4 linked regions of the Styela clava genome follow. The protein of the gene in region 2 purifies or fractionates together with the protein of the main gene of each other region. This does not show direct contact. Links are inferred from orthologs where the notes say so. Each region holds a gene or a part of one and is shown on either strand. Other genes may lie near its edges. The genes, in order: centrosomal protein of 76 kDa-like, centrosomal protein of 290 kDa-like, neuralized-like protein 4 and IQ calmodulin-binding motif-containing protein 1-like.

Region 1 (8,060 bases), on a different chromosome or scaffold from region 2:
CAAGTCGATGTTCTGCTACGAGCATACGGAGTTCCGTCTCCATTTGGCTGCTCACAAGAGCAGGGTCAAGGGTCGGAGAGAGCAATGGCGCCACCGGTGGGAAAGATGAAGACTGCGCACAAACGGATTTCACAGCTTCAAAACTCATTGGCTTCCATTGAGATGAATTCGCTAAATTAAAGTTGCATGTTTCAACAATATCAGACGGTTGTGAGTTTGCGTAAAAAGCTTCGTGATTGTAAATACAACCAATACTCTTGTATGGGTGATTGGTTACAGGTTGCTTTACTGCTGGTGGATCATCTGGCGCCACCATGCGGTGGATGTATCGATGACCTGTAACTGCGTCCCAGAAAATTACAGTCGCACCTTCTGAATAACGAGTCACAACCCAGGTGTATGCTCCACCCCTGTTTTTCGACCCGACGCAGACGTAAGCGTCAAGTCCGAATCCAAGCAATAAACTGCATAGAAGATTAGAATGGTCTTCGTGGTCGCCTTTTCCGAGAGCGAAAAATGCGTGCGAAGATCGCCATTGTTCCACATTACCTCCGGAACCCACAGTTGGAGCTCGCTCGTATCCTAAAGTACTAACAAATCTCGCTGCTTGTCGAGGTGTATGAAGCAATCTACCAGCTCGAAGAGGTTTCACAAAACTACAAACAGGGCGGTTTAAACCAGTTTCATCCTGTGCGAAAATTTTTACAGTACGTGTTTGATGTTCCTCTCGAATTTGAAGATATTCTCTCCACCATTGTTTTGCATAAACTAGAAAAAGTCGTTCTTTTTCCGCAGAACGCCGCCTTTCAAGTTGACATTGTACGTCTACGACTTCTTTTGTCAAACTCACACGGTTTTCTCGTGGCACAACTTCTAATTTAGCTTCCAAAATACCAGCTGGGATTTTAGACTCCGCTCCAACACCCATTAACTCTATCGACACCTTGTGGGATCCCTGTGGAGTAGATAAAACTTTCCGCCACTCGAGGGAGTCTGTTCCAACTAGAGAAATAGTACCGTCAGGGTCTGTTCGGGTTAAGATAAGATGAATCGGATCACAGATTGATAACATAGTTTCTGTGTCGGCCATTCTACCCCCCTCACCAGCAAAATGTGTGTGAAGTTCGAGCAGAAACCCTTCAGACAAATCAGGTTCGCAGGCAACTTGCACAGGTCGTGACCTGAACCTTTGACCCCGGAATAGCAAATGAAGCGTGAAAGTTGCACATGGTCTTGTCGAGTCGCCAGAAACGCCAGGATATTTCGGGGCATTTAGATGATCAATAAAAGCCTTTCCTCCGAGTATTTGGATAAAAATGTAACGCCGTGTCGGATCAACAGCGACTTTGTTTTTCAGTTCCGCTTGAATTAATTCTTCATCAAGATTTTTATGGATGGATGGTTTTGTTCGAGCAGCAATGATCGGCGATTCGTAACGAAGTCTCTGCAGAATTTCTTCCACAACACCTGAGAAAGTGAAAAAAGAAATTTAAAACTTCAACTCCCAACAATGGTGAACTAACTAGGCATTGATGAAACATGTTGTTACTTAGGATAGGATTTACATATTCATGGCATAAACATATGGCGGACCAGGGCCTTTCGTCCGTTTGCCATTCCATGTCGGGTATGGGATTAGTGGTGGATGGTGGCGGAAGCCGTAACCGACCAGCGGTTACGTAAACCACCCTACAGCGACGAGAAATCCTGCAATCCTCTCGCACATAACCACGTCCCGCATGGGATTCAAACCCACGCAGAGTAATTAGAGGCGCGGTGACGAGCGAATTCCTAACGCTTAGCACGATTAGCCGCACCGTATTGTGTGTGGACACTCAGCGAACTAGCTGCGTGATAGATTATGTGTTTTCACCAATTTATGTGTCTGGAAGACACATTACAATAAAACAGTCAATACAACTACATATCTTCCAAGTATTCAAGATTCGATTCAATTCTGAAATTATCAGATATTCGATAATGCCCAGTCCTAATAATTGCTGAGCAACGCTCTTCTTACTGTGTAACACGGCTTGGAAAATTACAAAAATTCAAGCGTCATTGCGCTGTAATAATCATGTGCAGTAAAGCATTTTCAGCATTGCGTTGCAAACAATATCTGAAGACTCGTTCATCTCAATTAGAATAGTTCACCAAATAAAATGTATAGGATGGATAACGGGTACAATGTAATTTGTTTGTGAGATTCATCATTCCCTTTCATTGTTATCATATCATAAAAAATTGAATATGTATTCCCTTTCATTGTTATCATATCATAAAAAATTGAATATGTAATTGAAAATTAAAATTTCTATCTGCGAGCATCAATGAGATGACTGGAGGAGTATGCTAGCAATACTGCAAACTGCAAAGTGAATCATGATTATTGATTGAATATCAAAGCGGCCATAACACTGATCATACGATCAGAAATATTTGCGCACTGATACAATTGGAATATTTAGTTGTAATCAGCAATTTGTTTTTCCACCAACGGTGGAAATATGTTACATACATATATGGTGTAGAATAATATAGAAAGTATCATCACTATATTCAGATACTTTTGTCGATGCAGTTATATTTGGGATCTAGATGAAGAATCAAGTCCACATATCTGGAACAAATAACTGGTTAAGTGCTCCCATACTCAACACAGACTGGTAAGCGGTAACCCATGAATCGCTATGTCAGTGGATGTGGCCCTTAAAGTGGAGTAATAAACAGGGGGCCATGAGTGCTAAAAGCTTCTGGAAGAGGGCTACTAGCCATAAAAGGTTGAGAACCAAAGCGTTTTTCACACCGTGAGAATGAACCCACAGAATAAATATGAAAATCCTAATCCCAGACCTCAAGTAGCTTACTTACCACTTACCAGTGTTGCAGTACACATACGAACAAATGTATTTTTGTCAAACTTTTCCAGGCAACCATATTTCAACTACCGTATATGCTCGTTTTACCGCCCGATCTTGATTGATTGATTGATTTGATCTTGATCAAACTTTTCCAGGCAACCATATTTCAACTACCGTATATGCTCGTTTGAATACCGCCCGTGTGAACAGAACATAAATAAGGGTTGGTGCTTGAATACCCGCCCGATGTAAAAGCTGATTTTTCAGTGGTAGAGAACAATAGGAAATAAGAAGCGCTTTTGTCACAATGGATTAATGTCATCCAATATTTGTCTTCAAAGATACCGTAAGTTTTGTGTATAATTTTACTTTAAAAAATGACAAAGAGCCCGCGCTTGAATGAGGGCCGGTTTGAATAAGAGCTCGGTTATTGAGTTTGATTAAAAAAATATCGGCCCAGGCTACAAAACGAGCAAATATGGTAAATTTAAATATATCACCTTTTCTTTTCAAGTCTTCCATTATGTCCCCTTCAGATATTTCCGTCCGATCATGTCCAGCTCGTTGTTGATTAAAACTTCCGGCCAAAACATCTTTAATCTGAGTCTGTATGTTCGCTTGTACAAGTTGGTTATGGATAATCTGCTTCAACTCCGCAAGCTTTTCTGGTGGAAGAGCTGACGCCATATTCACTGATATAATGACGCAGTTAAATGATTAAACACTGTTTCGATATAAGTATACGTTTATTTCGACTACTTACCAGCATAACATACGATATGATCAGTTTTTATTTATTTGTTTTTATCAACTACGGCAGGGGTCGGCAACCTACGGCCCGCGGGCCGAATCTGGCACACCTACTAATATAATCCGGCCTGTGGCACATCACTGAATTATAGTAACAAAACAGCTGTTTCGACGATTATAGTCTTACATACCAGAATTTATTGTGAGACAAGTGTAGACTAAATTATATTGTTACCTAACAAGTATATAATTCACAATTACTCGTTTAATGAGCCTATAATTTAATTATAATTTAGACAAATGGCAACAAAACGCAGAAAAGTTGATGCTAAGTGTAAAGGGTTCAATGGCACCGATAATATTCAAATGGAATTTTTTGAGATGCAATGCAATGAGGAAATAAAGCTATATTCTATTCGAGAGATGTATCGTTCGATTTTCCACTTTCTAAAAATATGTGCGGCCCGCCAATGACTTGCAACCCTTAATTTTGGCCCGCGAGCAACAAAAGGTTGCCGACCCCTGCACTACGGTATGGTATTTCATGTCTGTTATGCTGATTACTGGATGGAATCTAAATAACTTATTATTATTATAAAATACAGTAATTGATAACAATGAATAAAAATTGTTTATAAAATCAGGGGAACAAATATAACATGTACAGGACGGCAGAACGGAATATATAGATATATTGTGAAATGTTTTGCCAAAATAAAGAGATACTGATACGGTACGTCTGTACCGTACTTGTTCACTTATCAATGAATAAATCATATTATTTCAGTTCTCTGACATAAACAGGCAAACAAAATGCAGAGATAGTCTACCTAGAACTGAAGAAGGCGAGCATAACTTGAAATAAAGTTGAAGAAGTGTATAATTACCGGATTCAGAATACTTTTAACACAATTTAAAAACAAGATTATTGCACCGTAATACGGTGGTAAATGATTAAACCTCGTCTGTTGGTCTGGATATATACCGGTGACAAAAATACCCACTGATATAATAATGAGATTACACATCTCAATTTTCTTCGATAAATGACTGCAATAGTTTGAACCGTACCGGTACGTTCAGACGAAAGCCAGTACCGGTACAGCAGTAATACGGTGCCGGTACGATACCGTAGCCTATGGGTAGATAACAGCAATAACCACTGATGTAATCACACTATTGACTATATAGAAAGAAGCTTCGATAACTCTGTAACTGTTAAAACATGAACAGTAGAATCCAACCGTTCAGCTGCAAACCGAGTTAAAACTCGGCGAACTAGGTTTGTTTTGTTTTTGAAATACGGGAATTTTCAGTTGACGATACGGGTCAATGATTTGCTAAGGATCATTGACCGCGTTACAGGTACTGAAGCGTGACTCTATTGATCCAATTCAAAAAATTATGACCGCGAGATGTCGTTAGAGAGCAATGAGTTTTGTTTTTTAAATTGAAATCTTGAAGGGTAGGTCGTTTTATATTTTCATTAATATTGATTTTTTTGTGTGTGATTATTTGTGTTTGAAATCTTTTTCGAGATTTTCCCTTTCTACTGCGTTGTACGTTGAGACGAATTCGTTTAAAATAATAAAAAAACATAGCAGTGAAAGCCAAGCGGGCGGTTACAACGTATTTCCGGTACTAAAACCTCTTTCTATCGAACTCTCTTGTATGTTTATTCCCCGGGAAAAAACATGTTTTCTTGCCATCATGATTTATTAAAATTGTTGTGCCGTATGCGTTAGTTATAAATTACAATTGCAGCTATAAGAAAAATCAGCTTACTCTGTCTCACCCATACTAAGCACGGTGGCAGGGAGGACTTTCTTGCGATTTGGGAACGGTTTACTGTACTGAGTGTTTACCCTCGCACATCAATATATTTGGAGAGCATAGTAGAAAAAAACAATTCTACCCTTTTCGAAATTAATATAATAACCAATATATATGGACAATTATCAGGCCTACAGCATCACCATTTTTCGGCAGCGAGTGTTCTTTAATCCATATATCTGTAGGAAAAGCACATACACGTCCCATATTTTAATTTATAAGATATTGCCGATGTCACATCGTGTTTTAGCTTTATTGTGTTTTGACTGTTTTGGGGGGACGGGCACGTACTTGTACGTATTTATCTTTATTATTAAGTTCTGCCCGTCCTCCAGGTTTTCTGTATTTTGTTTGCCCTTTGTTGTTGTTTTGTTTGTTGTTTGTATCAGAGTGACCAAATAAAATTGATTGATTATGATCTTTGATATTTGCAGTTATATCTTATTTTGTCTAAAGAAGTTAGACTATGATCCAAAGGAAGCCAACTAATATACTTGCTATTTCGGGGAAAGAGATTGTGTTATTCATGTTTATCTGTGTGTTCAAGTTATAATTGAATTGTTTTGTGTCATATAGGAGTTCGAAAAAATTATCCTATCTGTCTATGTCTGAAAGGTGAGATTTTCCATTCAGTACATTTGTGTCCATGTTTGAACTTTTTTCTTGTGTGTTGTAAATTTTTGAGCCAAGACGTTTTGATGCATTTCCACTTAATGCTGACGTAATTTGACTCGTTTTTGTTAAGCCCTAGCAGAGAGCATTTGTCAATAAGTAAAAATGCCCAGAAACTCATGACTGTCCGCTTGACTGAAATTGTGGAATGTGTACGTAAGACATCACGCGCACTGCCGTATCGAATTTCATGTTCTCAAGCAAAACGTCACATGCACTATTGGACGTATAGAATTTCCTGTTCCTACGCCAAAACGTCACGTGCACTTAAGTATGCGTGGGAAGTTACGTCCAAAAATTAAGCATCACGTGGTCTTACGCACGAGTAGGAAATACTGCAAAATGTTTTAGTGCAGTTTCTAATGGATGCTAGACAGATTTACTTTGATATGTATGTAAGTATGTTTATTTGCCTGAAAAATGTAACAATATCTGCATAATAAATAAACAGTAAAACAGAGACGAGAAACATGTTCAAGACCTTACTGGCCTAAGACACAGATGTGCGACATGCACCCCTACTAACAATTATAACAGCAGTTTAGGACTGCTGCGTTATATTGGGACAACAGACATGCTGTACAAATAGGCTATACAAATAAAACTCTAGTAAAATACACACGGGTTTAAACCAGTATCACTGTTGGGTAAAATGGATCTTTTGTACGAATCCCCCTAAATAACACCCTCGCCAACGCTTAAAATAATAAAACGAGAATATCGGTCGGAGACCGAAGACTTATCGATCGGAGGTTAGGGGATCCCCCAAAAAAGCGCTCTTACTCCATAGTGACACCGTGTGTCCCATCACTAATTAATTATAAACTCGCTAATTATACGACATAATTCATCCAAAATCAATAGGCTCCTGATCCGAGCTATGATGAATACAATGCAAAATTTGGAGCAGATTTAACTTCGCTTTCGTGAGATATCGCTTGCATCTAACAGACAGACAAACAAACAGACAAATACCTATCAGCATACTTACCGATATTAAGATCGATAAGTAATAATAATTATCCCGCTAGGATTATGGCGAGAGCTGGGAATGCAAATTGCGCTGGAAATCTAAATTTTCGATTCATTACTGAACCGAACCCGATAATTGCTAATTTAATGTCCAAATTCGGTTATATCCACAAAATGACAACAAAATCAGGTGTATTATGGAAGAGCGTAATATTTCACAACACTGACCTAGAAAAATTAGAAAGCCAATAATTCTTGAACAACGTTCTTATTATTGCGTGACAAGGCTTGGAAAATTACAGACATTTTAGCGTCATTGTGCTGGAATAATCACGTGGATTCAGGCATTTTCGGCGTTGTGTAGCAAACACAATCTGATGTCGGGTTCTTCCTAATTAACACAAACCCAGTGATTTTATTCTTGTTGGAATGCCCAGCGTACGTTAATAATCATGTGAAGTTACGCATGATTATCATCACGTGATTAGTCTGCGCGAGTCACGCATTCAGACGCTCTTAATTAACGTAGGACTTAGCTGAGTGGAAAATTACTGCAATTTATACTTCAAGTAACAAACAACCCATGATAATAATCACGTGAATTGTTACGCATGCGTGAAACCCAAACGCATTCGAAATGTCTGACGTAACTTACGGAATACCGAATTAATAATGTCTACTGTAATTAAGAATGAAAAATTAGTATGAAACATTGCGCAAATTTATATATTTTATTTAGCAAAGTTCAAATCATATTTAAATGCAACTTGTATTACTTAAATCACCTAATGGTCAGATAAACAAGCTAATGTTCACCCCCCAAAGTCCTTATATCTGTGAAAAAATTGACTGGCCGAACTTCAGTTTTTACTTCACCATTGACATCTAGCTGAAACGCTAGGGAAGTAAAAAAATGGGTCGATGTTCGGAGAGACATATATTATGATGTCACAATTTTTCTTTAGTGGTTTA
Region 2 (8,737 bases):
GAATGTATTAGATATTCCAGAATATTCGGTTTTGCCATCCCTACTAACAGTTCTGAAGCTTTCAGAAAAATAAAAAAAAATTTATATTTAAAGTATTATCAATATCAACTGATTTAATGACAAGACTTTGTCATATGGAACACCATTTGAAAAACTTATACATGTGGGTGGATTAATAAAGGCAGAGTTAATATGAAGAATAATGGATATACTTAAGGCATAAAGAGTGTTACTGGCTACTGGTGTATAGTATTGACAAGCTTTTAGCACATAACTTATAGAGTAGAAAAATCATCACTTAAAAAGTTTACTCATGAAAATTTTCCTCTATGGAATATTCCATCCAGACAAAATTTAACTCCAATCTCCATTTCGAAGCTTCATTAAATAATTTTTGTGTAATATTTTCCAGAATTTTGGGGCGATTTATAACGGTAGTTAACATATAGATAAATCTTGTTAGACTATGATCGAAAGAAAGCTAATAAATACACTTGCTATATCGAGAGATTATCTTAATCGATAATATTAGTTAATCAAGACACCTGGAGTTTGTATGCAGCATTCTCCTTCTGAATATTTTCTGAGTACTGATCTGTTCCATCTATGACACGTTTCATTTTCTCATATTCGTCGGCCATCTTTTCCATGTCCTGTTGAGCTCTTTCCATTTCATCTCTGACTCCATGATTTTTGGATTCCAAGTCTTTGTTTACTTTTTCTAATTCCTGAAGGAGTAATGCAAACATAAAACCACATTTTACTAAAAATTCAATCAAGGACTAATAATAACTATGTATTTTACAAAATAATTCCAGATATCCAATGACTTTTTTTTAAAGTCTTAGAAGGTCTCTCTAAAAACGTGTCTCAGGAGCTATTCCTGGCCGAGACTCGAGTTTTACAATGACATAAATAATTCGGATAAGTGAGTTTAAGGTAATATATGGCTCGTTCTGTACATTATATTAGAGTACAATTAATACAGGAGAAGTTCGCTATTTATTTTGGCCAACGATTCGCTATTCTCATTGATTTTTTCAACAAAAATTTATAATCGTAAAATTTCAGCAGGCACAACTGGGCCAGATGAAACACTTCGGTGGGCCAAATCAGGCCCACGGGCCGTAATTTACCCACTTCTGTGTTAAAAAATTGATTCAAATAACATTTAGAAAAAATGAGATAAAAATATAGACAGAAATGAACTTATTCACATAGCCTTAAAATTTATCTCACATAACTTTAGTTGGCTTGGAATTTAATTAGATAGCATATTTCTACCACAATTCCTGAATAAAGAAAAATACAAACCGTTATTTGATCGAGTAAATCTGTTATTTGATTGTTTTTCTCAGTGAGTTTGTCTTTCATTTCTGAATCAATATGACCTTTGACACCCAAACGTTCACGATGTTGCTTCTCCATAATATCACGGAAGTCGCGAAGATCACTTTTCAATTCTTGATTCTAAAAAGCATGAAATATTTTAGCCGAAAAATATGGCATTATGATGTAAAATTAACGTTTTCATTTTAAAAACGTACCTCCAGTTTTAGATCTTTAACTTGTTGTTTCATTTCGTTGTTCTCTCGCTCAAAAGTATATCTATCTCTCGACATTTCTTCAAGTTCAATTCTAAGTTCCCTTTCTTGTTCTTTGTATCCTTCTACCAATTCAGCAAGATTCCTATTTTCCGCACGAATGTATTCCGTGTCGCCGCGGAGGCCACCAGCACCTCCCGATCCAAATCTCTGCAAAAACCAAGAAACGTCAATGTCTGTCATAAATGTAATTTTCGAATTTAAGAATTACCATATGTCTATACTAGTCATAAAATTATAAGTATGGAAAAAAATGTTATCAAACTTTTGGAGGAAGCACAAGCGCAGGTTGAAGTTCCAGTTCTCAAATGAATATACATTTATTGATCATTTCAAATTCCAGTTGAAAAATCAATAATATTACTTATCTCTGCATTGCTCCAAAAAAATCTAGTTTTACTCATACACCAAGTCATGATACTGTTTCAAAATAAAGATCTCCTAGTTCCAAAACCTACATATAGCATTATATATGTTACCCTCTGATGAGATATAAAGCTATTTTGAAATCATCAGCTATTCAACCATTCAATAATAACTGAGCAATTTATTTTAAAACATAAAATGACATTCTAAACTAAATGTTCTCGATAGAAAAATTTAGCAAAGATCTGGTCAGTGGTTCATGAATATTTGATTCTTTACTAATACTTCACATAAAAGTTCTAAGATAAATATTCTTTTATACTGGAATTAAATGAGAAAAAAGAGTAATCTCATAATTAATGTGAAATAAATAAAAACTTAATGTTATGTATCATCAGTTTAAATACATTCTATAGTTTTGAATAGAAACCAACTTAATCTGGTTCAAAAATGAAAGAATGCTATTTGTTAGTAGAGCATGAGACGGATACCAAAGTATTTTGAAAACTAGAAGAGACTTCGTGGAAAGTGAACAATATTAACTACAGAATTGAAGTAGTATAGAGCACAATTAGACTGAATATATAACAGATATATAGAAAATCGGAAATGGAGCAGATAGCGTATCAACTTAGAAAAAGGTTATCACAGTAATAATAATAGATTGGTATTTTGAAAGTGAGATGTTTTGGAAATGAACACTATATTATTTATTGTAAACATTGACACAATTGACAATTGAAAATGTCTTACAGTAAAAAGACTCTTTTTTATATTTTGCATTTGTTGTTCTTGTTGTATCAATCTCAAAATAGTGCCAATTCAAATTTATGTGATTAAGCATTAAAATATTAACAAAGAAAATAATATTGCTACATTCATAATGAGCAAATTGCTAAACCATATAAATTTTTAAGTCTCATTCCCAATTATTCGACAAAATCTTACTCGTTCATCCTCTAGCCTTCTTTTTAATTCTTCAATCTGTGAATCTTTATCATTAACAGATTTTACTTGTTCATCGAGTAAAGCTTCATATTCTTGCTCTCGATGCTGTAGATGGTATGACATTTTAAAGTTTTAAGTTAGCTGGATTTGTCGCAGTGAGTTACAGAAGAGAAAAATCATGATATGATGGAAATAACACTTTGGTGAATAACTTTTCCATAAATACCAGAAAAAGACTTTTATTATAGGCAGTTCAAGTTTACATATGATAAAAATCACTGGCATAGAACTGGGAACTCATTAATCATTATGAGGAAAAAAAAATTCGGGTTTGATTTTACAGATTTTTTTTTTCAATGATAGAAGTTTTCCATTCAAACAAAAACACTTTTTAACTTTAAATTGATGTATGAAATAGGTTTTATACCTTGAAAAACTGTATTTGAAACTTTATAGGTCACCCTTATACCCACAAAACTACATGAGGCTTTCATTATAATTTAGTACTTACATCAAGAATATTCAAAGCAGATTTGAAAAGCATGATCAACTTGTCTGGTTCATTTTTAAAATCTGCATCTTTAACTGTACGAAGATCTTCAACCACCCTGTCAATTGTCTCGTCATCCACTGTAGAACTACCTTGAGCCACTGTGCCAACAGTGGCCCAATCAATATTGGGAGCCATAATAAAAATGGCAAAATGTCTTTGTAGTCAATTTCTATAAGATCATTTCGAACCCTGAAAATAATGGGGAAAAACAAATGATATGTAACTTCAAAAGTATGTAATTGAGTAAAATAGAAGTAAAAGCTACTAGTATGTGTGTTCTTAGGAGGTTGGAAGAACCTGTTGCAACTAACGGAATTATGTGTTGACTTATACCAGTACACAGTTCAGGATTTACTGAGTTTCTACAAAATCTAAGTACATTGGGTCTATTATAGTACCATAAGTACTTCTAGTGCACGTAGCAGAGGCAATTCTGCAATTGATAGCTCTTTCTTTGCGTATATAAAAAGTTTGACACAAGTGGCAATAATAGGATAATCGTAGTTCCTATTATCGCCACATCAACATTTCTGCTATATTTTTGAGATATCGCTATAGCAAATTCTTTTTGGGGATCACTGCTGTTGGCTTTTTTTCTCGATCGGTAGCCAATGTTCCGAGAAAATATAAAAGAAATGTTACGTAAAGTATTATAGATTTTAGATGGATCGGAATAAAAAGCGGAGATAATAGGGTAACTTACGTTACCGGTAAGGTACTACTAAAGTTACCTAAGCAAATTACATTTTGTTTATGCACATTCAGACATTGGTTCAGTAGGATAGGATAGGATTTTACATATTTATCCCGGGGGAGAGGAAAGCCGATAAGACGGCTTATCCATATGGCGAACCACGGCCTCTCGTCCGGTTACCATTCCAAGTCGGGTATGGGATTAGTTTTACTGTATTGTTTGTTTTCGGAAGCATGGACTTGGTGGTGGAGGAAGCCGTAACCGACCAGCGGTTACGTGAACCACCCAACGATGGCGAGGAGTCCAGCAATCCTCTCGCACATAACCATCTCTGCATGGGATTCGAACCTGCGAACCCATGCAGAGTAATTAGAGGTGCGGTGGCGAGCGTATTCCTAACGCTTAGCCCGTTGAGCCACACCGCCAAATGGGTACAGCAACTGCAATCTTTCAAGCCCTTTAAACTTTATTCTAAAATATGACGCGGCGTATTACTGTATTAGTCTGCTTTTGTTTCTGCAGCTGTGTGCCTTTGTGTCACCGCCGGGATAAATATGTAAATCCTATCCTTTACTAATTAATCATTTGTGGGCTAAGCCTATCTCTACCAATCTACTGTAAAACCTAAAAACAGTATGGTTAGTCTGTTAGTAAACGGTACCGTACTTGAATAAGCATGGGATCACCAAGCATAAATATTCGCGAAAACCTGAACTGCATCCCTGGTAAAGTCGTACACAAAGTCACACTGCCTTCGTACCACAACGAAATTATCATACTAGAGATGCTGCAGCAAGCATTTAATTTACCATTGACGACCAAAACAAACGGAAGTCAAGAATTTCACGCATGGTTGAACACAGTTTCCAAATAACCACAGTTTTGCAAATGCAAGGTGTTTTGTATAGTTTAACATCCTAATATTTCCCATGAACGATCTACTCAAGTATATGTATTTAATACTGAAAAAGAACATCCATGTAACTCGACTTTTAAGTTATAGGGAACAAGTGAACATCATTTAAAAATTTAACACGCATGACTGCACGCTGTATTTGGCTCCCAAATCTTAAAGTTTGAACATCAGGGAGCGAGCCTTTGCAGCGACTGAAACGCCCTTTAACATTTTGGATGGCTACTAATTTTGAATAATTTGGCCTTTTTTAGTATACGTAAAAATATATTGATCAGAAAGTGGTCGTAACTTTAATTTGAACTACGACAAATACAAAAAACTTTTGTCAAGAAGTTAGGCAAATGGTGCAGTACGCACCATAACGATTGTTTGCGTTGGGTGTGCGCGGGAGGATCGGAAGCTGAAGCTATACCTTATGCTTTATAATATTGTAAATGGTTGCCTACTTTGTTCCTACTTTATCCTCGTAAGTCTACTTGTACATGAACTTAAAAATAATTTACTGTGGTCAAGGGGTTTAATGTCGCAGTAACAGAAGACTGAACATCATTGTACCTATTTAGTCACGTGATTGTGGATGACCACCCGGATACACTAATTGCAGAAGCACGCCCGCAAGATAAACCATAATCTTGAAATAGGACAATTTTATCTAAAACTAAAGGCATCCTAATTTCAGACACCTTTCCAATTAACTAACAACATCCTAATCACTCCACTCGGTATTTTCTCTATAAACTCATCTCTTGTACCATATTTACGCTTGTACCCATTCGACATTAATTATTCTCTTATCAGTGTACTTATCTTCATTTTTATCATGGTGGGTTAGCAGCTGTAGTTAACTGCTTAAATCCGTAGCATATATATATTTTAAGTTCACGTTTCAACAATTTTATGCAAATCAATCTATTGTCTTTGATAGTTTTCATAATCAACAATAAACTCAGAATAAACACGAGGAACAAAAATAAAGAAATGAAATTTGATAAATCATTATTGCAGGTATCGATATATTTTAACGCATTGATTTCCTGAATCCGCCACAGCCACTTGGTCTTCATTAATAAGAGTAACGCCTTGTGGTCCATAAAGTGGATCTTCGTCTGTGTTTATATATGAAAGAAATGATCCATGTTTGTCAAAAACCTGTAACATGTAAATTGGTGTAAATAACAAAAAGGAACAAATTCATTGGCACTAATCGTGGATTGTATGAAATTGTTTTAGATTTGAATCACATTGCAGATTGTTCAATCCAATTCGAAGTTAAATTTAACCGGTTTTATAGTCACCAACCGTGTCAACCAAATATTATATACTCAGCAGTTTAATTTACAAACACTGATAACTTGGATCGTTTCAAATGACGAATATTGGAATGGTTTCGTTACTCATTTCGTTTGCGATGAGGATAATTTAATATACAAATCAATCAAATGAATATCTCACTTGAAGTCGGCTGTTGCCCCAGTCAGCAACTATCATGTTACCTCGAGAATCGATTGCCAGACCTGTGGGAGCGTTGAATTGCCCGCAACCTTCACCGGTTGAGCCGATTACATTACTGCATTTGCCACTCGCAGAAAATATCTGGAAAATATTACATATTTAACATTCGATGGCAATAGTTCGGTTATCAGATTCTTAAACAAAAATAATTTATTCTGTATTTATTGTATGTTTTTCAAGGCTGTGAACAATACATCTAGTTTGCCGACTAGAGGACCAGAAATTCTTCACTTAAAATTCTTTTGTGGGAAGATATCTTTGTGCTTATTGTTATAGCTAACAAAACTTACTTACAAAATACTTACTTTTATGCAGTGATTGTAAAAATCGGATACATAAAAGTTGTCGTTGTAAACAGCTACAAAATGAGGTCCGGCCAATTGATGGATTTCTGTGCCTCGAGTCCCAAACTTAGTTACGAGTTTTCCATTAAGTTGAAACACAAATATTTGACATAATTTATTGTCCACAACTACAAGATGTCCATTGTGATCGATACATAAACCTGTAATGCTTAGGTATTTACATATTGTATAATGAATATCAGTATACACACTCTTATAAATTCTGGTAGTTGTAGCTACATTTGTCAGGGGATATTTCTCCATCTGAGTCAGTTATCGCTCTGCTTGGATGGACTATTGCGTGACATATATATATATATATATATATCTCAATTACAATCAGTTTTTTAAATTCAATATGACTTGTATAAATTCCTTTTCATTCGAAGCACGTTTCTATAAACTAACTATACATTTCACACATTTTTTATTTTGGACATGGATAAATGAAATACAGAATTTGGCCGACTATCGATTGATCAAATAAACTATCTTAGTCGACATAATTTCATTTTAGTTTGTGTGAAAACAACGGATAAGGTACAGACATCAACGCTTAAATAATTCATATATATTGGTATACGTGATTTCAACTTGACATTTAGATGAAAAATAGCAAAAAACCTTTAGGCCCCATGAGCTTTCCCGTTCCAATATTCAATTTGCTTGTTCCATCTTCAGAAAATATTTTTACCACCTTATTGTCATAATCTGAAACAGCTATATCACCGTTTGGTAAACCGAAAACTCCAGTAGGTCGCTGAACTTGTCCACTTCCTCGACCTGCAACTTTGTGCAGATTAAAATAAATCCTAAACTAATGCTGGTGTGTGAATATTGTCTTGCAAACTTTAGAAAGATACGCATAACAATCTCAAATAAAAAACTTTATGAAACCAAGGTTTCTTCGGCCATCTGTTGGAGTTAGACCGTGTGAAAATGGCACTTAAATAATAAGGCAACTCAGGTTCAAAGTTCATCATTCTAAATTTATGAAAATTGTATATCATACGAAAAATTTGAGTTTTTTACAAGTATCAAGATATTGGAGTCGTTGGTGTTTTGTCGTCGAGGCGGTGTTGTGTATGGAACGTTTATTCAAACACTATCCAACAACTTATAATCAGCCTCACTTAATATTTATGTGCAATAAACTCGGGAATATCCCGACATAATATCAAGCTAATAGATTCTTAGCAATTTTCGTAACTTCATTCAGGTTATTCTTGAATAAACATGTACATACCACGTTCACCAAATCTGAAGAGGTATTTAGGTTCTCTTGTTTTCTTTGAGCTTACGGAAAACACTTGAATGCATTGATTAGTGCTGTCGGAAACCACGAGACGACCCAGGTGGTCAGTTGAGACACCTTGTGGATTAGAAAATTCGCCTTTGCCTCGACCTCGGCTACCAACTTTCTGTACGAGGTCATCTTCTATTGGGTTTTTACGTGGGCCCATACTGCAAAAACAACGAGTTTTAGAATGATTAGATAATGCAAATATTTGGTTGACCAATTAGTAGGACTTTATAAATTACCATATATATATACGAGCTATTTTATAGAATGTGGAAAAAAATTCTTCAACTTACTTATATATACCGAAATTGTGAGGCAACCATGATTCTAGGATAATTGTGAATTATAGATAAATAGACAATTTAATGTCCACCAAACACACAAAGTTTTTGTTGAACGGATTTACCTTTGTGGACGTTTCATCCCCCTTTGTCTAACACTCTGTGGGCGCATGCTAATTTTGTCCGTTTTTGCTGGTGATCTTATGCGTGCATTGG
Region 3 (8,796 bases), on a different chromosome or scaffold from region 2:
CAGTTGGATCATTAATTGGAACTGGCATTGAATATTCCCAATCGACAAGCGAATCCACAATGGTTACTTTCGAAACTTGTCCATACAGATCAACAACTGCATAGATGTTTTCAGGGACATCTTTAGCTGCTAATCCTTGGTCTATTCCATTCATATAAAAATGTAGATTTCCATTGGATTTTCTACAAACTCCAAGAGTGTCTCCAATAGACATATTGTCTACGTTTGTACCATAGTCATCAACAACAGTTACACCATTCACCATTACACCTGTAGCTGTCATGATCCATGTTCCAGATCGTACATTTGTCATGGTTGCTGGGAAATTCAAGGCTTCTGGTGGGTATGTCGTAATACCAATCTCCAATGAACCTGACCATTTTTCTACAACATCTTCCACTTTAACAGTAAAGGTTTCTCCTGCACGATAAAATATTAGCATTATTGCAATTAATTATATAGTAAAAATGTTTGTAAAAATGTAAATATATATAGGAATGATAAATTGGAAATAATTTTGGGTTTTACCTGATTAATAGCTAATTTTTTTTTTGATTGTTCAAATAACTGTCAAATATGATCATATCACATGAATGAGGCTAAACCAGTATATATCATTTTATAAAATGCAAGAATGCTGAAGTCAGCCTACATGGGAATTTGATATTTGAGGAATGGTTTGATCCACCATAAATTAACAAAGGGGCAACACCAAAGATGATGAAAATGAAAATCAAACTTTGTTTTCTAATGTACGCACCAGTATTCAGAGTTCTTGCACTCAGCACTACTGCATGATTAAAATCTTCCAGAGGATTTTGCCGCATGGCTGATTTCTTGCACGATGACAGTTCGATGTGCTTTCCACATGAAACATCAAACAGAAGTGGTTCACGTTCTTCAAGAAGATTAGAATCAAGCAAAATTCTGTCAACAACCGCATTGTTTCTTCGACTCCTAATAATATAACGAGGAAAAGTTTTCGTTATGGAATAAGTAAACAAAAGCTGAATGGCCTACGCCACGCCTATTTATATGGCCCATATTTTTGGATGCTTTTTCCTATTCGTAACAAGACCTGCATTTTTGACTTTGTGTCACATGATTATAAAAAGCATAAGTTCTACACTGAGTGGTGTCTAAAATACTTCTTTGTTCAACACAATCAGGATGTGGTATGCCTGATTTATGCAAGCAATATAGCAGTGTAAAATTGCTGTACAAAACATTCTGCTGGTTACTATAGCTAAATAGTTTGGCCATCAGCATCATCATTATTTTATGTTTTAGGTCATTGCGATAAACAGTTGCATACCCATGTCCTGGACAAAATAATCCATCATATCAAAAAAAGTTATTATTACTATATACCAATATATAACAGAATGAAATTGAAATTACATGGTAACTTGGCATCTGTAACTGATTTTAAAATGAATTTGAAAAGTTTATATTAGTTCATGAAATCATTACAAATTATTTAATCAACTTGTTGTGATATCTATAAAAAGGTGATCAATAAATGGGTGATAGCATTTTATCTGGATAAAGAACAAACCTTTCAAAAACAGAGTGATGTGGAACAATTGAAACACTGACTGCTCTGCCATATAAATCCACAACACCATATATATGAGGAGGTATATTGTTTGCTGCAACACCTTGGTCTACTCCATTGATGAAAAAGTGTAAAGTACCTAAAATATAGAAATAAATATATTTAGTAGCAGTATATATAGTTGATGCACCTAGTCCAGCTAACCACAAATCCTGCTTTATGAAATAATATACCAAAACTCATGATTACTCAACCAGTCATAGTTACACCTTACACGTAAAACTGCAATATGTTCAACATAATTTGTTCAAATTGGCAAAATGTATAAGAGGTAATTAAAATTTATTTTTCTCAACGATTGAAGTTTCATATATAATCAAGAATTGCACTTTCTTGTTTGGATTCTGGTTATTAATACAGTAATAGTTGAATATATTGAAAATTCTGTCATGTTGAGTGGTAACTAATATTGTTTTTTGATTTGACGATCAATAAATTCCTTCCTCTCTGTAACTACATATAATGTTTATCAAACCCAATTGAATAATATTGCTAGTCACTTCTTACCTTCCTCTTTCCTCATTAGACCGATATGATCTCCAACTTTTAATTCGTCCAAATGAAAATCTAGATAGTGTTTTCTGCTACCTTTACCATTTGTAATGATCCCACAGCCACTCAACATTACTGTACCAGACCGAAGATTTGTCATCGTGCTCGGGATCTCCAGCAAATCAGGAGCATGTGTAGTAACACCCATTTCAATAGAGCCAGACCATTTGTCTGTCAAGGCGTTGAGTTTTATTTCAAATAATTCATCATTTTTCAATGTTCGATTTGTCATAACGACACCGTTATTAAACTCATCTTGATGATGGGAGCGGACCGCAGTCATACCACCTTCCAGTAGTTGTATTAAAGAACCACATTTTGCATAAAATACTAATGATTCTCCATCCAAAAAGCAAGACTGATGTTGCAACATTTTACTTCTATTTCTTCTGTCAAATAAAACTTCTGAAAATGTTAATGAATCTTGCAGATTTGAAACTTGTGGTAAAGAGACTGTTGAATCGGAGACTATTGTTACACCAGCACATTTTCCATACAAATTAACCATAGCCCAAACGGATTCATATATGCACACAGCAGCAACACCTTGATCAGCTCCATTTATATACAAATGAACTTGGTTATTATCATTTCTCATGATACCTACAGTATCTCCAATGTCTAAAGAATCCAAGTCCTGACAATAATCATCAATTGTTGCCACACCATCTATATTCACCGAAGTTCCGGATATAAACCAACTGCCATGTCGAATTGCAATCGCCCCCTTTGGAATAACTAATTTTGATGGATCTGTTGCAACCAGCCCAATTTCAATAGAACCACTCCATGAAGCGATTTTTTTGTCTATGCATATGGTAAACAGTTCATTTGCTTTCAATGGATTTTCAGAAAATATCATTCCATCATTGAATTCCTCTTTGGCATGCTTCCTTCCAGCACTTGTGTAGTGTTTCGATAGTTCAACCAGTCGACCTGTTCGTCTGTGAAACTTTTGTGCATTTGTCATTTTAAATTTGAAAAACAATTACTCTTTGTTGTTTTCAATTCTTCTGTGCAGTGGTATATTGCACTGGGTTAATTATAAAGTTGAATTTATTTCTTGTTGGCTCATATGCTTCATGTTTCATATGTTGTATGTATTTATCAAGTACTGAGGTAATTGGTATTTAATTTTAAATATCCAACAGTTGCATTATAGGCACAGACAATCCATTGGCATGGATTGTATGTCAGTAAGTAGCTAAAATTTGAACAGGAAAGATGTTGAAAATTGCAATATCTGAATATTGACTAAGCGGTCTAGTATAGTTTAGGGGTCTGGTACCGGTATAGTTTAGTTCCACATGCACTTCTAGTTGGCCTGGCTCAACAACTTTTGCATATGTCAATCCTAACCCCCACCTGACTACGTCACCGAAAAATTACGTCATTTCGACGTCACGGTGGCGTAATAAGGCCCACCAAAGTATCCGGATGGTCGTCCAAAACGCGCAGACGATCACCCGAAATCGAACAAGCTATTTTTCTCGTCACGACGATAACGGTAGGAGAGAGATCGCCAGCTTTAGCGAGTTCGTTTTCGGCGGCGTAGATGCCATTTCGCAAGTGCAGTTTTAAGTATTCTATGGCGTCTGCAGCTGCCGCAAAACCATGGCGGTATTTCCATACCATGGCCGCTACGGCCAAACCTATGGCGACTGAATTTTTAGCTGCCACAAACCAATGTCGAGCTGCCGTTACCGCGGCAGCAAATTGAAAACCAATGGCAGGTAAAATTTTGCTGCCTTAACCGCGGCAGGTGGGCCGTAAGGACAGGGCTGTCCCTTAGGGTGACAAATATTGGGTAAGTTGGAACGTTTTTCTTATGGATACAGTCTTGATGGATTTGGGGTTAGGGTTAGGGTTTAAGTAGATATAATTCCCCATGATCAATTAGAATTTGGTACATTAGTTTGTGAATATACCGTTAATACTGATTACTGAATACAGAATAGCGCTATAAAACCATGGCAAGAGCTGCCGCGGTTCGTTCGTGGCAGGAGCTGCCATAAAGTGGTAAGAACTGCGCCTCCCATTTCGGGCGATCGTAATTATACTTTGGCAAGCCCTATGACGTGGTGAAGTCGTAGTGACGTAATTTTTGGATGACATAGTCAGGTGGGGGTTATGAATAACATATGCAAAATTCGTTACGGTAAAATCGAGTAACTTCGGGTGCCTTGTAACTTCGAATGAAATTTTCAATCGTTTATATCTCGACTAAATAGCGTCATATTGTGCTTCTAGCAGTTTCTTTAGTGAGTCCTTATATATCTCAATCTGTTATCATATTCAATCGCGCAGTTTAATCCACTTTTTGATTAAGAATCTCGTTTTAGCATAAAATTGACACTCAGTTTTCGAGCGGTTCAAATCGTGACTTCTACCGATGCTAACTTCGTCAAAATACCGTCATTCGACAGAGGACGTTATCAATGTATATAAAAAATTAGACTGATCGCGAGATGTCGCTGATACTCGAGACACAAATAAAATCCAAATATTTTTTTTATATCAAAATAATGGCATCTAACGCACACGTTGAACTGACGTCACCCTGACGTCGCTCACTTCCAAGGAAACGTCATGTTGCGTCGCCGTTACAGATTTGACGCCAGACATTCGGGCGCCGACGAGTAGGCTTAGAATTGAAAATAACAGCGATATTTTGTTCGATTGGAGCAATATCGGCTAAAATATACACATCAACAGTTTTCTGTGGATCTCAAATTCATGGCGTCAAATGCTGGAAATGTAATTTAATTAAGTTTATTAAAATTGGAAATTAACGAAAAACATTTTCGTTCGATTTGACGATTCAAATTCCTCCATATGGAACGGCAGCATGGTTTAAAATAGAAAAATTGTAAGCAGTCAAGAAATGCTGCGCAAATATAAAATCAGCGATAAATAACAAAAATCATTGTTGCAAGTGAGACTTCCGTTTAATAAATTTAACGTAGTATATATTTACGATTTAACTAAAGTAATTTAAATTAAAGTTGCCAAATCGGTGTTTTGTCCTGATTTATGCACGACCGACATTTTAATAGGTCAGTTTAATAGAGAATTCGGTCATATGCATGCTCAATAATATTTATTGTTTAAAAAAGGAATGTAACCGCTTTTCTTGTTATAGTTGAACCGTAAATATATAACTATGTATGTCTGAAGAAGTCTGACCTTGGTCAGACGAAACGTTACAGAAATATATTTGTGTTAGTGCGCAGCAAGACTCTTGAATCACTTAAGACTAATTTTAATGTTTGCACTTAAACATTGAAATTTCATTTAAAGAGGGTGTGATACAAAACAGCAAAACTGTTTATACTTCTCTTAACGGTGCTGTGATACAATTCCATAACACAAAGTTTGCACCCATCGAACTTGCTTTAGTAGGTGAATTTATTAGACATATTACATATTCAGTTTATCTTAGGTAACATTGATGGTACATATTGCCTCGTAGATAGGTTTGCGTCTAAATTTAGGAATTTAGCTCATAGCCCACTAATTAATATTATCTTCTATGTAGGAGGTTGCAGGGCTGAAATCAACTTGCAGCCTTACCGATCACCTGATGATGCTCATTTACTTTGGCTCGAGCAAGTCTTCTTGAAAGACTTCACCGATTTAAAGATGTCAAAATGATGGATATCAATAAACCAGTTGAAAACCAACACACAATATTACAAATTTACTTCCGATACGCGGTTTAAATGAATAACCTGAAACTAGTATTCTTTAGAACAGCATACAAATTCTATGGGATGAAATCATACACAAAAGCTCGTCAAAAACCTATAGATCAATAGACAAGTGGAATTTGATGCATGTGCGCAAAAATGTGCGCGTTACCCCATGCAACCGAAGCACTCAGGAAAATATATGTGATGTGCTAGTGATCAAAATGTTTGACTCAACTATGTTGGCATAAAAGGTGCACATCTCGGTTTCGCATACGCATATCCTCTATTTCCACAAGAATATATTAATTTGGCCGAAGTCAATGCTGAACCTGAAAGGTTCCGGTTCTTCCAAAAGAAAACACGTTACACATCATTAGATACCAGTGGATGGTTTTACATGGCCTAGTTCGGAGCGAAAGACGAGGTCAAATATTGCAATCCATTTCAACTAATAAACGATTTCACAAGTCCCGAAACTTTAAGCAGGAAAACGAAACGCCCGCGGCAACACAAATGTAGTTTGAAGAGTGCAAAAAAAGTGGCTAGATGCTGTCGATAGATCTTGGCTTCTATTAGTGAAATGAACTACCATTTATTGTACTAAAATTGAATTTCTGACACTGTGAGGAGATTCAATGTTACTATGTCTTCAGAACTAACCCATGTAGTTATGAAATAATTGTTTTTAACAAAAAGGTGCTCTCGAAGTATTGGTACCAAGATGGCACACAACCTGAACATTGTATGTTTACCAGGTTAAGGTTCAGGATACGCGTCATCTTGGTACGAATATTTCCGGAGCGCCCCGAAATCCACTTAGGAAAAATTGCTCAACATTATATACTCCACACCCACCTGGGTATCTTTATTTATGTCATCGACATTATATCTAAACAATAAAAAAAACTTTATGTCTCAAAACGAGGTTCGCCCCCGATTCTGTGGGACGGTGTCGTGCCGATGGTGTCCTGGATTTTTGGAGCAGCACAACTTGTCTACACGCCGACAAACGACAATTTATGAAAATTCGCCCAAGGACTATGAAATTCACCCGGAACGGGGATCATCTGAAGAATTATTATCACCACTCAAGAAAAGTGGTGGGTAGAGGAAAGTATTACTATAGATTCGTTGATTGATATGGAAAAGACGGCCTGCCACGTATGCGACGCGAACGGTCTATGCTGATGGTGGCCTTTCGCTGTCGCTGTTCGCTTCAAATTTTAAATTCATTTTCAGTGTTGGTATTTTAGCACAATTTTGTTGACTAAGTGGTACTTTCAGAAATTGTTTCAACAGAATATGGTGTTACCTTCGATTCATCAGAGTCTAATGCATGGTAGTGCAGATATCGAGGTCCCAACAGTTGCCAATGAGGTGAACATATTTCTTTAGTTCCAAAGTACTTTCTGACTGTTCAAGCCTCCTTACTTGGGGGAACGAGCAAAAAGCGGGTTATATGAGTAAGTTGTTTGGCAAGTATATGTGTGTGACGGAAACATCAACTCCAAGTGAGCAATTATTTTCTGCAGCTGAAAATACTGCCACTGAGCTCGCTTAGATCAAGCCTCACCGCATCACATATGGAGGCTATTGTATTTTCAAAATGCAGTCTTAGTATATGACTCTTTTTCGAGTGAGTTACTTGTGAAATATGTTTTTTATTGTGTGTGGCAACCCAGCAATGTGACTGAGTGATGTGTCTTAGGTTTTCAGTAATTTATGTGTCAGGAGGATCCGATACAACGAAAACGTCACACACAATCATTATGTATTCGTAAAGGCCCACATTAGTTATAATGTCAGACACGACACAGAGACATTTGGATAACATTAATAGAATACGTTTAGTTTTACATAACACCGCCCTTGACTGACAGTACACATCTTGTGTATAGCTGCCGTACAACCAAACCATTCAACTGGTGATTAAGACCATATAACCAAATACCACGTCCTGTAGCTTCAAAAGTTTTTAACAAAACATAACTTCAATTTATATTAGAAAAAAATACAGTACAATACAAAGCAATCTAAATGTTGCCAAACAAAAAACAAATCGGAAGAAGGTAAAAACGAGAGTAAATGCAAGTTTATGCTATGGGGACAAATTCCCTCGAGCGGCATCGCTAATATGGACAAGCCGGCAGTGTCCCTTCTGTATACTGAGATATTTTATTAGATCGAATGTCTCTGCACAGTAGGTAGCTGACAACATTGAATTTTTGGCTCCGAACTATGATATGGACAAGCACCTCCTCAAAAGAATGTTATGTTTATCCGAAATAGGCTCTTTGCAAGCAACTATTCAAAAGCTTGAAAAGTTTACTCTGTACTCTGTACACGATACGGCACGAAAGTATGGCGATTTCAATTATCTGCGCTCACATATTAAAAAAACACCACGATAGTCTTGAGTGCCTGCTCCTGTACATAGCCTACTTCAGGGCAATCATTTGATGAAAGTCTTTCAGTCGTTGGTTGTATATAGATCCTAGTCCTAGAAGCTAATATGTGATTGACCACAAACAAAACTTTGGGAAGAGCTGCCAGTCGTTAAACAGTGCTCACGATGATAATGTATAATATATACTATATAGGACACTTGAGGGCAATGTAGTGCTCATGCTGCTTAGTGTTCTATTTAAGAAAAAGAATCCCCGAGGTAATAATCTATTACCACGATGCTGCTTGAATAAATTGTAGAAAGGTCCCTGACAAGGCCCACGTGTCATCCTTTGCTTCCAACCTATCCGGGCGTTTGTTTGATACTGAGTGAGTATACAGCTGAAAATCTCAACTCATAAAGGTAGGTAGTAGCAAAGGGAATAACAACAGCCTCTCTTTACTATAGACAAGCCAACATTTCTTCCATAGAACACCAGAATTGTACAAAATCTTTTGTGTCGAATGATTAATTAAATACCCTATTTG
Region 4 (7,910 bases), on a different chromosome or scaffold from region 2:
AATCTCATTTACACTTGCAAATATTTTATGTGTTTTATTTGAAAAGACCACTTTTACATGAGGAATTAAAAAGAAAAGGCTATATACAAATTTATATACCCAGTAATCCATTCAGATTATACATTTTCTTTTTCTGAATATAAAGCTTTCATATATCCCAAAACTGTATGCAGAATGTGAATGAGTTAAAATACTCAAATTTTTAAATAAATATACCAGGAGCAGCTGAAAGATATGAATACAAGCGCTTGTAAGCTTTTTGTTGTTTGCTTCTTAAAAACATTTCGATTGTCTTCTTGACTTGATTTCTGAAAAAATGTATATTTATACATCTTGGAGCATATATATATGAATGAGCTAAGTACTTTCAAATCGTAAAATATGGATAACTTAACGAACTAATAACGAAAGACTTTATTTCGCAAATCCGCTATGAGATCATAAAAATCATGAGGAATTAGAGGTCAAATATATGCAGATATATAATAGCAAATAGCCAGAACAAATCATCTTGAGATATTTTGAAATGTATCAGTATCAATTGTTACAACAATCATTTGTCTTGTTTCATAAATAAAAAGGCATACAGATAACTTTCGATGCTATAGTAGAGAAAATTTAACTTACATGTGAATAGAATCAACTATAACTTCTGATTGTGTAACATCTTCTTGCCATCCCCCTGGTCCCTTGATCCACCTCAACCCAGCACCACCCCAAAGTGACACTGCCATATACGTATTTCTTGAAATTGTTCAAATAATAATAAAATGATTAACTAATATCTGAATATTAAAATAAGGTACTTATTAGCACATATAAAACATTGATTGGCAATAGATAGAAGAGTGGTATTTGGGTGTATAAAGGTGTTTTAGTCAAAAAGGCTATTTTCATGTAAATGCTGAAATGACAAGAAAACTAAATTTAAAAGAAAATGTTGATAACAAAAGTGCAAAGAATACTCCTGTTATAATATTGTTCCATATATTATAGCTAGATAATCTAGTTTTTCAGTTTTTCAATTTTGTATAAGCAATACCAAATCAGAATAATCTCTGTCATAAGCATCATAAAAAAAATGTCAGACTTGTTTTTCAATCATTAATATACTGATATATACAAATGGTTAACTTTGGTCTAATAGCGATAAAATGTTTAACTTACTGACTTAGCTTAAAAATCTTTAGATTCAATATGCCAGTATTCTTCACTTTCCAGATTTCTGACTTTGTTTAATGGACAATTTTTCTATGTTGGTCAAGTTTATTGATGAAGAGATTTATGCAATTTTATAATTTGAACAGCATTTTATTAAAGCATGTTGAGAAGCCATCGTAAGGTTGTAAAGCCATCAATTTCACATATTTTCTACTGCTTTGTCAAGCAGACAAGGATTTTTTTCATACAACATTACATGCAATGTCTGAATTTTGAGAAGCTGAACTTTAATATAAGAATATGCTGAAATGTTGGCAGGGTAAACACGTTCGATCGATGGTGGTAAACAGGTCGAGGACCAAATATTTTTGGAGGCTTCACGGAATACGGTACACAAGATATACAGAGATAAGACGCTACTGTCTGACTGCAGAACTGTAACCCAAACCAGTAAATCCGGTACCGTAAATCCTGGTTACTCAGTCCAGCAGGCACTTTCCTGATAGAACATCCCCGGAATATATCGATTTCCATAAAAACAGGTGGCGTAGATCAATAAATTACGCTGCCACATATTGTTTCCAACCTATATCCCGTATATTCAACGGTGAATTGCAACACCAGTCGTACACAAAGACTTCTGAGCAAAACGTAACACATGCAGCATGTCTTTGTTTACCAAGTCATATGTTTGTGCATGTGACTATACTGATAACCAATCATCAACACGGTAGGCGGGGCGTTACACTCTGTGAGCACGAATCGGAACCAACACACCTTCGCAACACCCCACACATACGCCGTTTAAAATCTCTTTGTCTAATGACTTTTGCTTTGTTTGTCACCTTGTGATGCATTAGAAATGTTTTAGTTCACATTACCTTTTCGTCATATTCTCACGAGGTTTATGGTATTTTATACCCTAAAATAAGTGTTAAAATTTCTTGCCGATAAGGTTAATGTTGTTTTGAGCCAACTTATTTTACCTGTTTATAGTATCAATACTGTACACAAATTTTAATGAATAAGTGAATGATTTACCAAATGGATTTTTGTGTGATTCAACTTCGCGACAACCATTCTAGTGAAATTTGTTACAATAAATGCGATGATATATTTTCACATATCAATTAAATTAATCAAACTGTATTGTGCTTTATGAACCGAAAAATTCTTGTTTAGTAGAGCCAATGTCATTGCTCAGACAGATCTTCAAGCGTGGTCGTAAACATTACCTCGTTTTCGCGTTTTTGAACTCTATTCGTTAGTTTTCACTTGTGTTTCGGAAACTTGAATATAAATCAGATAATTCAATGATCACTCTGTCTTCCTCGGAGTTTTAATTTAATTGCAGTAATAAAAAATTAGGGTAGAAATAGCTGTGATGGACTGGGCTAAAATTTATTACCGGTACTTTTAAAAAAACAGATTGTCGTATGCGATGAATCATAATGATGGTTCGAAACACATACCCCATTTTACAGGCGCCAACTCGCAAAATCACTCTTAAAATACCCCTGAAAATTTTGCAATGGTAAAGTATAGAAAGAATTTCATGGGAGTCAAAGTGACTCCGGTGTGAGGATAAAAAGACTCTGGTCAGCGAGGGCAATAAAATTTCAAAATAGCCATTAGAGATATGGCTAGGGATACGGCAGGTAGTACGGGAGCGGTAGCTTTGGCGGGCTGACGGACAACTCACCAGAGACAAGTCAAAGATAAATAAAGCACAACCGGTGTATAGCAAAACGATATAATTTGCCGACGTTTCGAATTTCTATTCAGAAAAACTTCATCAGGGCATGATATGAAGAGTAAGTACACTATCATATATATATAGAGTAAAAAAATAAAAAAGATAGTAAAAATTAAACGGCGTGAAAAACTGAAAAAGGGACAATATCATAATAGATCCGGGTGAATAAGCGCAAGTTCAAACAATTACGCGACTATCTAAACAATGATTTATATACATGCGGGAACAATGTAGTATCTTTATCGTTCATTGAATTTTTCTCTTTGTTGATATGATAAGATTCGAGAAATAGTCTTTTTCTGTAGTGAATTTCATGTTCCAATATCCTGCTGTTATCCCAATCAATGCTGTGTGCAGAGACAACTCGACTACCTAGAGGCCTGGTGAGTTGTCCGTCTTTTGGCATTTTCTACGGTGGTGTTTTTTGTCTATAGAAATGCGTTTTTGGTAATTTTAGTGCTCAAATGTTGAGAAAATACATAAATATGCTCTAGAAAGCATTTTTATTTGTATAAGTGGCTTATTTTGATCATGTTGTATGATACAAACACAGTCTACAGACGAAATTGGAGTACGGTAACGTTAGCGAAGTTAGACTGTTGACTTATAGGACTGTGTTCGTTTAATTTTTCGAACTTTATTGGTATTAAATGAGCACCTTTAAATATATTAAAACCTTTATACTTCACAGTAACACTCAAATAGTTATAAATGTGAGCTCAGTAGTCTATGGTTGCAGTAGTCTAAACTCGCCTACGGCAGACGCCCGAGAGGCCGTCAACTCACCAGTCGAGCAAACGCTCTGCGACGTGACGTCATCGATGCTCGAGGTGAAGACAACTCGACTACCGAGCAACGAGAGGCAGACAACTCACCAAGTCGAGCAATCGCTCTGCGATATCGATGCTCGAGGAGAAGACATTGCGCCATGACAAAAAGAAAACAAAATCTTCTATCCATTAAATTTCCCCATAACGTTTAGTATTCAAATATCACATTAAATTCATTAATCGTAACAAAAAGTAAACATCTTTTATACATTCTTCGGCCCAGTTTCTTTGCCAGGCACAGCGACAGTGCCTATCTGTTCCTGGTTTTCTTCTGCAAAAAGAAATTCCAACTCTATGACTGAAACCTTGCCGTGGTGAGTTGGCTTACAACTAATATCAGTCGGCACTAAGTAAATGCTATGCAACTCTTGAGTCTGCGTTTTGCAAAGCAATGTCTTCTCCTCGAGCATCGATATCGCAGAGCGATTGCTCGACTGGTGAGTTGTCTGCCTCTCGTTGCTCGGTAGTCGAGTTATCTTCACCTCGAGCATCGATGACGTCCGCTCGCAGAGCGTTTGCTCGACTGGTGCGTTGACGGCCTGTCGGGCGACTGCCGTAGGCGAGTTTACACTACTGCAACCATATACTACTGAGCTCACATTCATAAATATTTAAGTGTTACTGTGAAGTATAAATGTTTTAATATATTTAAAGGTGCTCATTCAAAACATTTAATACCAATAAAGTTCGAAAAATTAAACGAACTCAGTCCTGTAAGTCAACAGTCTAACTTCGCTAACGTTACTCCAATTTCGTCTGTAGACAGGACAGGATAGGATTTACGTATTTATCCCGAGGGAGAGGAAAGCCGATAAGACGGCTTATCCATATGGCGAACCACGGCCTCTCGTCTGGTTACCATTTCAAGTCGGGTATGGGATTAGTTTTACTGTATTGTTTGTTTTCGGAAGCATGGACTTGGTGGTGGAGGAAGCCGTAACCGACCAGCGGTTACGTGAACCACCCAACGACGGCGAGGAGTCCAGCAATCCTCTCGCACATAACCATCCCTGTATGGGATTCGAACCTGCGAACCCACGCAGAGTAGTTAGAGGTGCGGTGGCGAGCGTATTCCTAACGCTTAGCCCGTTGAGCCACACCGCCGCGCCTATTCATACAACATGATCAAAATAAGCCACTTATACAAATAAAAATGCTTTCTAGAGCATATTTATGTATTTTTCTCAACATTTGAGCACTAAAAATATCAAAAACGCATTTCTATAGACATAAAACACCACCGTAGAAAATGCCAAAAGACGGACGACTCACCAGGCCTCTAGGTAGTCGAATTGTCTCTGGTGAGTTGTCCGTGTAGTCGAGTTTTCCGCCTCCCGCTTTGGCGTACGGTACTGGCGTAAGAGAGCTCAAAAATGTCGAAGAATGATAAATTTGAGGAATATAGTCCAACTGTGGGCAAACCGCGGCTCACGAGCCGCATGAGGCCCGTCCGAGTTTTCTGCGGCTCTTCTCGCTAACATTTAATATTATCCAAATGTAACTTAAGAGAAACTGTAGTGTAACATTTTTTTAAATTTATTTAGCGGTAGAAGCAATTTTCATCAATGATTAGGACAAATTATGTTTTAGTATGAAAATCGTTGTGTCGTGGAATTTTAAATCAGTCAAGCAACAAATCTTACGTCACAATGGTCAAATTGTATGTTGCTGCGTTGGCTGCATCCTGCATTGTAGCTTGATTGTGGTTAGTCTCAGTTAAAGTGCGATATGTTCACAAGTAAGGAGCGAAAATACGAAGATGAAAACAGAGTTGTCAAGTCAGAATGGAAGAAGAATACGCATTTATTCGTCAAGAAAATAAATCTTTGTGATTGAACTCTCATATGGCTGCTAATTCATAATAAAGTCAGCAATGTTGATCGGCACCGTGGAACGAAAAGAAAAATGGTAAAACAACAAAAAGAATCAAGTCAAAAATTATGGATACAAAATAATGCTAATGAATTTGATTATGGAGAAAAATGTACAAAATGGTTTTTCAAAAAATTAAAGGAAAAACATGAAAAGTGCACAATAGAAAAAATGAAAGATAAGAACGGCAATTCCTTCAATAACTTGAAGGAAAAGTTGGAAATAGGGAAGGAATACACAAATTTATATAAAAAAAACGTGAAACAAACAAAAAAGAGCAATTACTATTTCTAAACGCCTTGGAAAAAAGCCTAATGATGAGGGTGCAATTGAGATGAACTCTAAAATAACTATGGAATAATCTAAAACAACTATGAACTAAGGATATATGACATTATTACATAAAATCACAGATTCAGTAGTTTTGGTACGAGATATAGTTTCTGAAGCGGAAAGAGGCAATAGTAAATCATTTTTGGTATCGTTGGATTTTGAAAAAGCATTCGATTCTGTCGATCTGCAGTATAAGTATGAAGTATTAAAAAAAATTGGTTTCAAAAATAAAATAATTAGTGTAGTAAAGGCAATGCAAAAAAATGAAAAACTGTATTATCATCAATGGTGGAATAAGTGAAAGCTTTACTATTAAAAGAGGGGTCAGACAAGGTGAACCAGTAAGTTTATATTTATTTATAATAGCAATTGAGCCATTAATAATATCAATACAAAGAAACCAGAAAATAGAAGGAATAATGATACCTGGGAATATTGAAATAAAAGAAATAAGAGATTTACCGACAATATAACATTAACACTGAATAAGAAAACATCATTGGAAATGGCTATGGAAACAATAGAAAAATTTGAACAAGCAACAGCCAACAGCAATGAAATTGAACAAAACAAAAATCATGAAATTGGGATTACAAGAAACACTGAGCGCTTTGAACATGAATGAAGTTGAACAAATGGCAGAATGGAGAAAAGAATGGACAAAAGATATGGGAGGATATGATTTACTGGACATACCGTACCTGTATTTATGAAATATTCATGATTATAAAAATAAAAAAAATTTTGCCCACCCCTGGCAATATACGATGGTAATTATATTGGATGGTGACAATTAATACTGTACCGGTACCGTACCTAGGGCTAGGTATAATATTTTTTTTACATAAGTTACTTGTTTCAACACATATTAGGTACTAAAAAAAGTGAATCAAGCAAACATACCGGTATCGTACATTACAGTATTGAATGTACCGATTTCAGATGACTAACGGTTACGATTTTTTTTAACCGTTAACTGACATCTCAGGTACAAATCATCTTCATACCGTACAATTTCTTCAAGTATGATTACGTCATCGCAAATTTATCTCTTGTGGCATTTAATTCAAAAGAATATTACTAACTGTGTGGGTAAGGACTCAATAAATGTGAAAAATAATGGCAGTACCAAGATTGCTGATTATGGAAATTTGACAATGATGAATTCAGAATCGGTTTTCGGTCAATTTCCAAATATATTGTTCACGATTTCATTGCGAAATTGGATATTCAATGTCGTACAACAAGTGTGCAGTTGATGCCGTTTTTCTTTATATGATATATATCTCGAAGTAAAATTTGCATGTCGAACACTGAAAATTTGTCACATAAATGACATTCAACAATGGAATCGGGTTTTCTAAAATACTTCCACGTGCCCGAACCACGCTGCCTATCTCTTGCAGCAGATTATGAAACTATCTCGATGCGTGAATAATTAGGCTTCCCGCTAGGGTTGGATTATCCGGATAGCGGTTAACCGGATATCCGGTTAACCAAGAGTTATTTTGCTATCTGATATCCGGATATTATTGTGACGGTTAACCGGATAATAGAGCGGTATAAATAATGCATATGCGCATTAGCGATTTTTATATGTTTTGTTGAGTGGCGACTGACATCTCCCAGAGCATATAATAACAACTTTTTCCACTCTAATCTGCCTATATTTTAGCTTTCCGTAGAATGGTGGAGTGAACTTCACTATTACATCACAAAACACGCAGAACAAATATGATTATTGCGCTAATTAGAAGAGCTCATTCGCTTTATAAAATTAGAATTGAAGTGGAGGTACAGTTTAAGCAAGACTAACTTAAACTAATTCAGTTGAATAGTATTGGTTGGGTGGGTGTGAGTTTGTTGCTTTTTTGTCGGGTGTGGCTTTTAGTTGTTGCGTGTATTGAAAGAACGCATTTCATCATGAAGTAAACCAGTATGAATTTCGAGGACTTATT

What was found.
Region 1: the proteins of centrosomal protein of 290 kDa-like (region 2) and centrosomal protein of 76 kDa-like purify together in Homo sapiens (co-immunoprecipitation; 5 studies listed by BioGRID and IntAct, with this or other methods). This does not show direct contact. The link is inferred for Styela clava from reciprocal best matches to the Homo sapiens genes CEP290 and CEP76.
Region 3: the proteins of centrosomal protein of 290 kDa-like (region 2) and neuralized-like protein 4 purify together in Homo sapiens (affinity purification with mass spectrometry; 3 studies listed by BioGRID and IntAct, with this or other methods). This does not show direct contact. The link is inferred for Styela clava from reciprocal best matches to the Homo sapiens genes CEP290 and NEURL4.
Region 4: the proteins of centrosomal protein of 290 kDa-like (region 2) and IQ calmodulin-binding motif-containing protein 1-like purify together in Homo sapiens (co-immunoprecipitation; 8 studies listed by BioGRID and IntAct, counting the BioPlex papers as one, with this or other methods). This does not show direct contact. The link is inferred for Styela clava from reciprocal best matches to the Homo sapiens genes CEP290 and IQCB1.

The regions. Positions count from the first base shown.
Region 1 is NC_135252.1:22,882,906-22,890,965, reverse strand, and holds the start of centrosomal protein of 76 kDa-like, read right to left. Parts: upstream 3,586-8,060; 5' UTR 3,549-3,585; coding exon 3,362-3,548; intron 1,468-3,361; coding exon 1-1,467. UniProt on the Homo sapiens protein: Centrosomal protein involved in regulation of centriole duplication. Required to limit centriole duplication to once per cell cycle by preventing centriole reduplication.
Region 2 is NC_135257.1:13,834,834-13,843,570, forward strand, and holds the start of centrosomal protein of 290 kDa-like, read right to left. Parts: upstream 3,661-8,737; 5' UTR 3,607-3,660; coding exon 3,430-3,606; intron 3,024-3,429; coding exon 2,919-3,023; intron 1,755-2,918; coding exon 1,548-1,754; intron 1,471-1,547; coding exon 1,315-1,470; intron 729-1,314; coding exon 546-728; intron 1-545. Other genes in the region: tripartite motif-containing protein 2-like, read right to left, coding at 6,078-6,230, 6,534-6,674, 6,899-7,098, 7,562-7,726, 8,184-8,401, 8,647-8,737. UniProt on the Homo sapiens protein: Involved in early and late steps in cilia formation. Its association with CCP110 is required for inhibition of primary cilia formation by CCP110.
Region 3 is NC_135252.1:6,169,790-6,178,585, forward strand, and holds the start of neuralized-like protein 4, read right to left. Parts: upstream 3,400-8,796; 5' UTR 3,141-3,399; coding exon 2,126-3,140; intron 1,698-2,125; coding exon 1,559-1,697; intron 958-1,558; coding exon 761-957; intron 421-760; coding exon 1-420. UniProt on the Homo sapiens protein: Promotes CCP110 ubiquitination and proteasome-dependent degradation. By counteracting accumulation of CP110, maintains normal centriolar homeostasis and preventing formation of ectopic microtubular organizing centers.
Region 4 is NC_135260.1:8,785,378-8,793,287, forward strand, and holds the start of IQ calmodulin-binding motif-containing protein 1-like, read left to right. Parts: upstream 1-4,547; 5' UTR 4,548-7,910. Other genes in the region: F-box only protein 32-like, read right to left, coding at 217-308, 628-734. UniProt on the Homo sapiens protein: Involved in ciliogenesis. The function in an early step in cilia formation depends on its association with CEP290/NPHP6.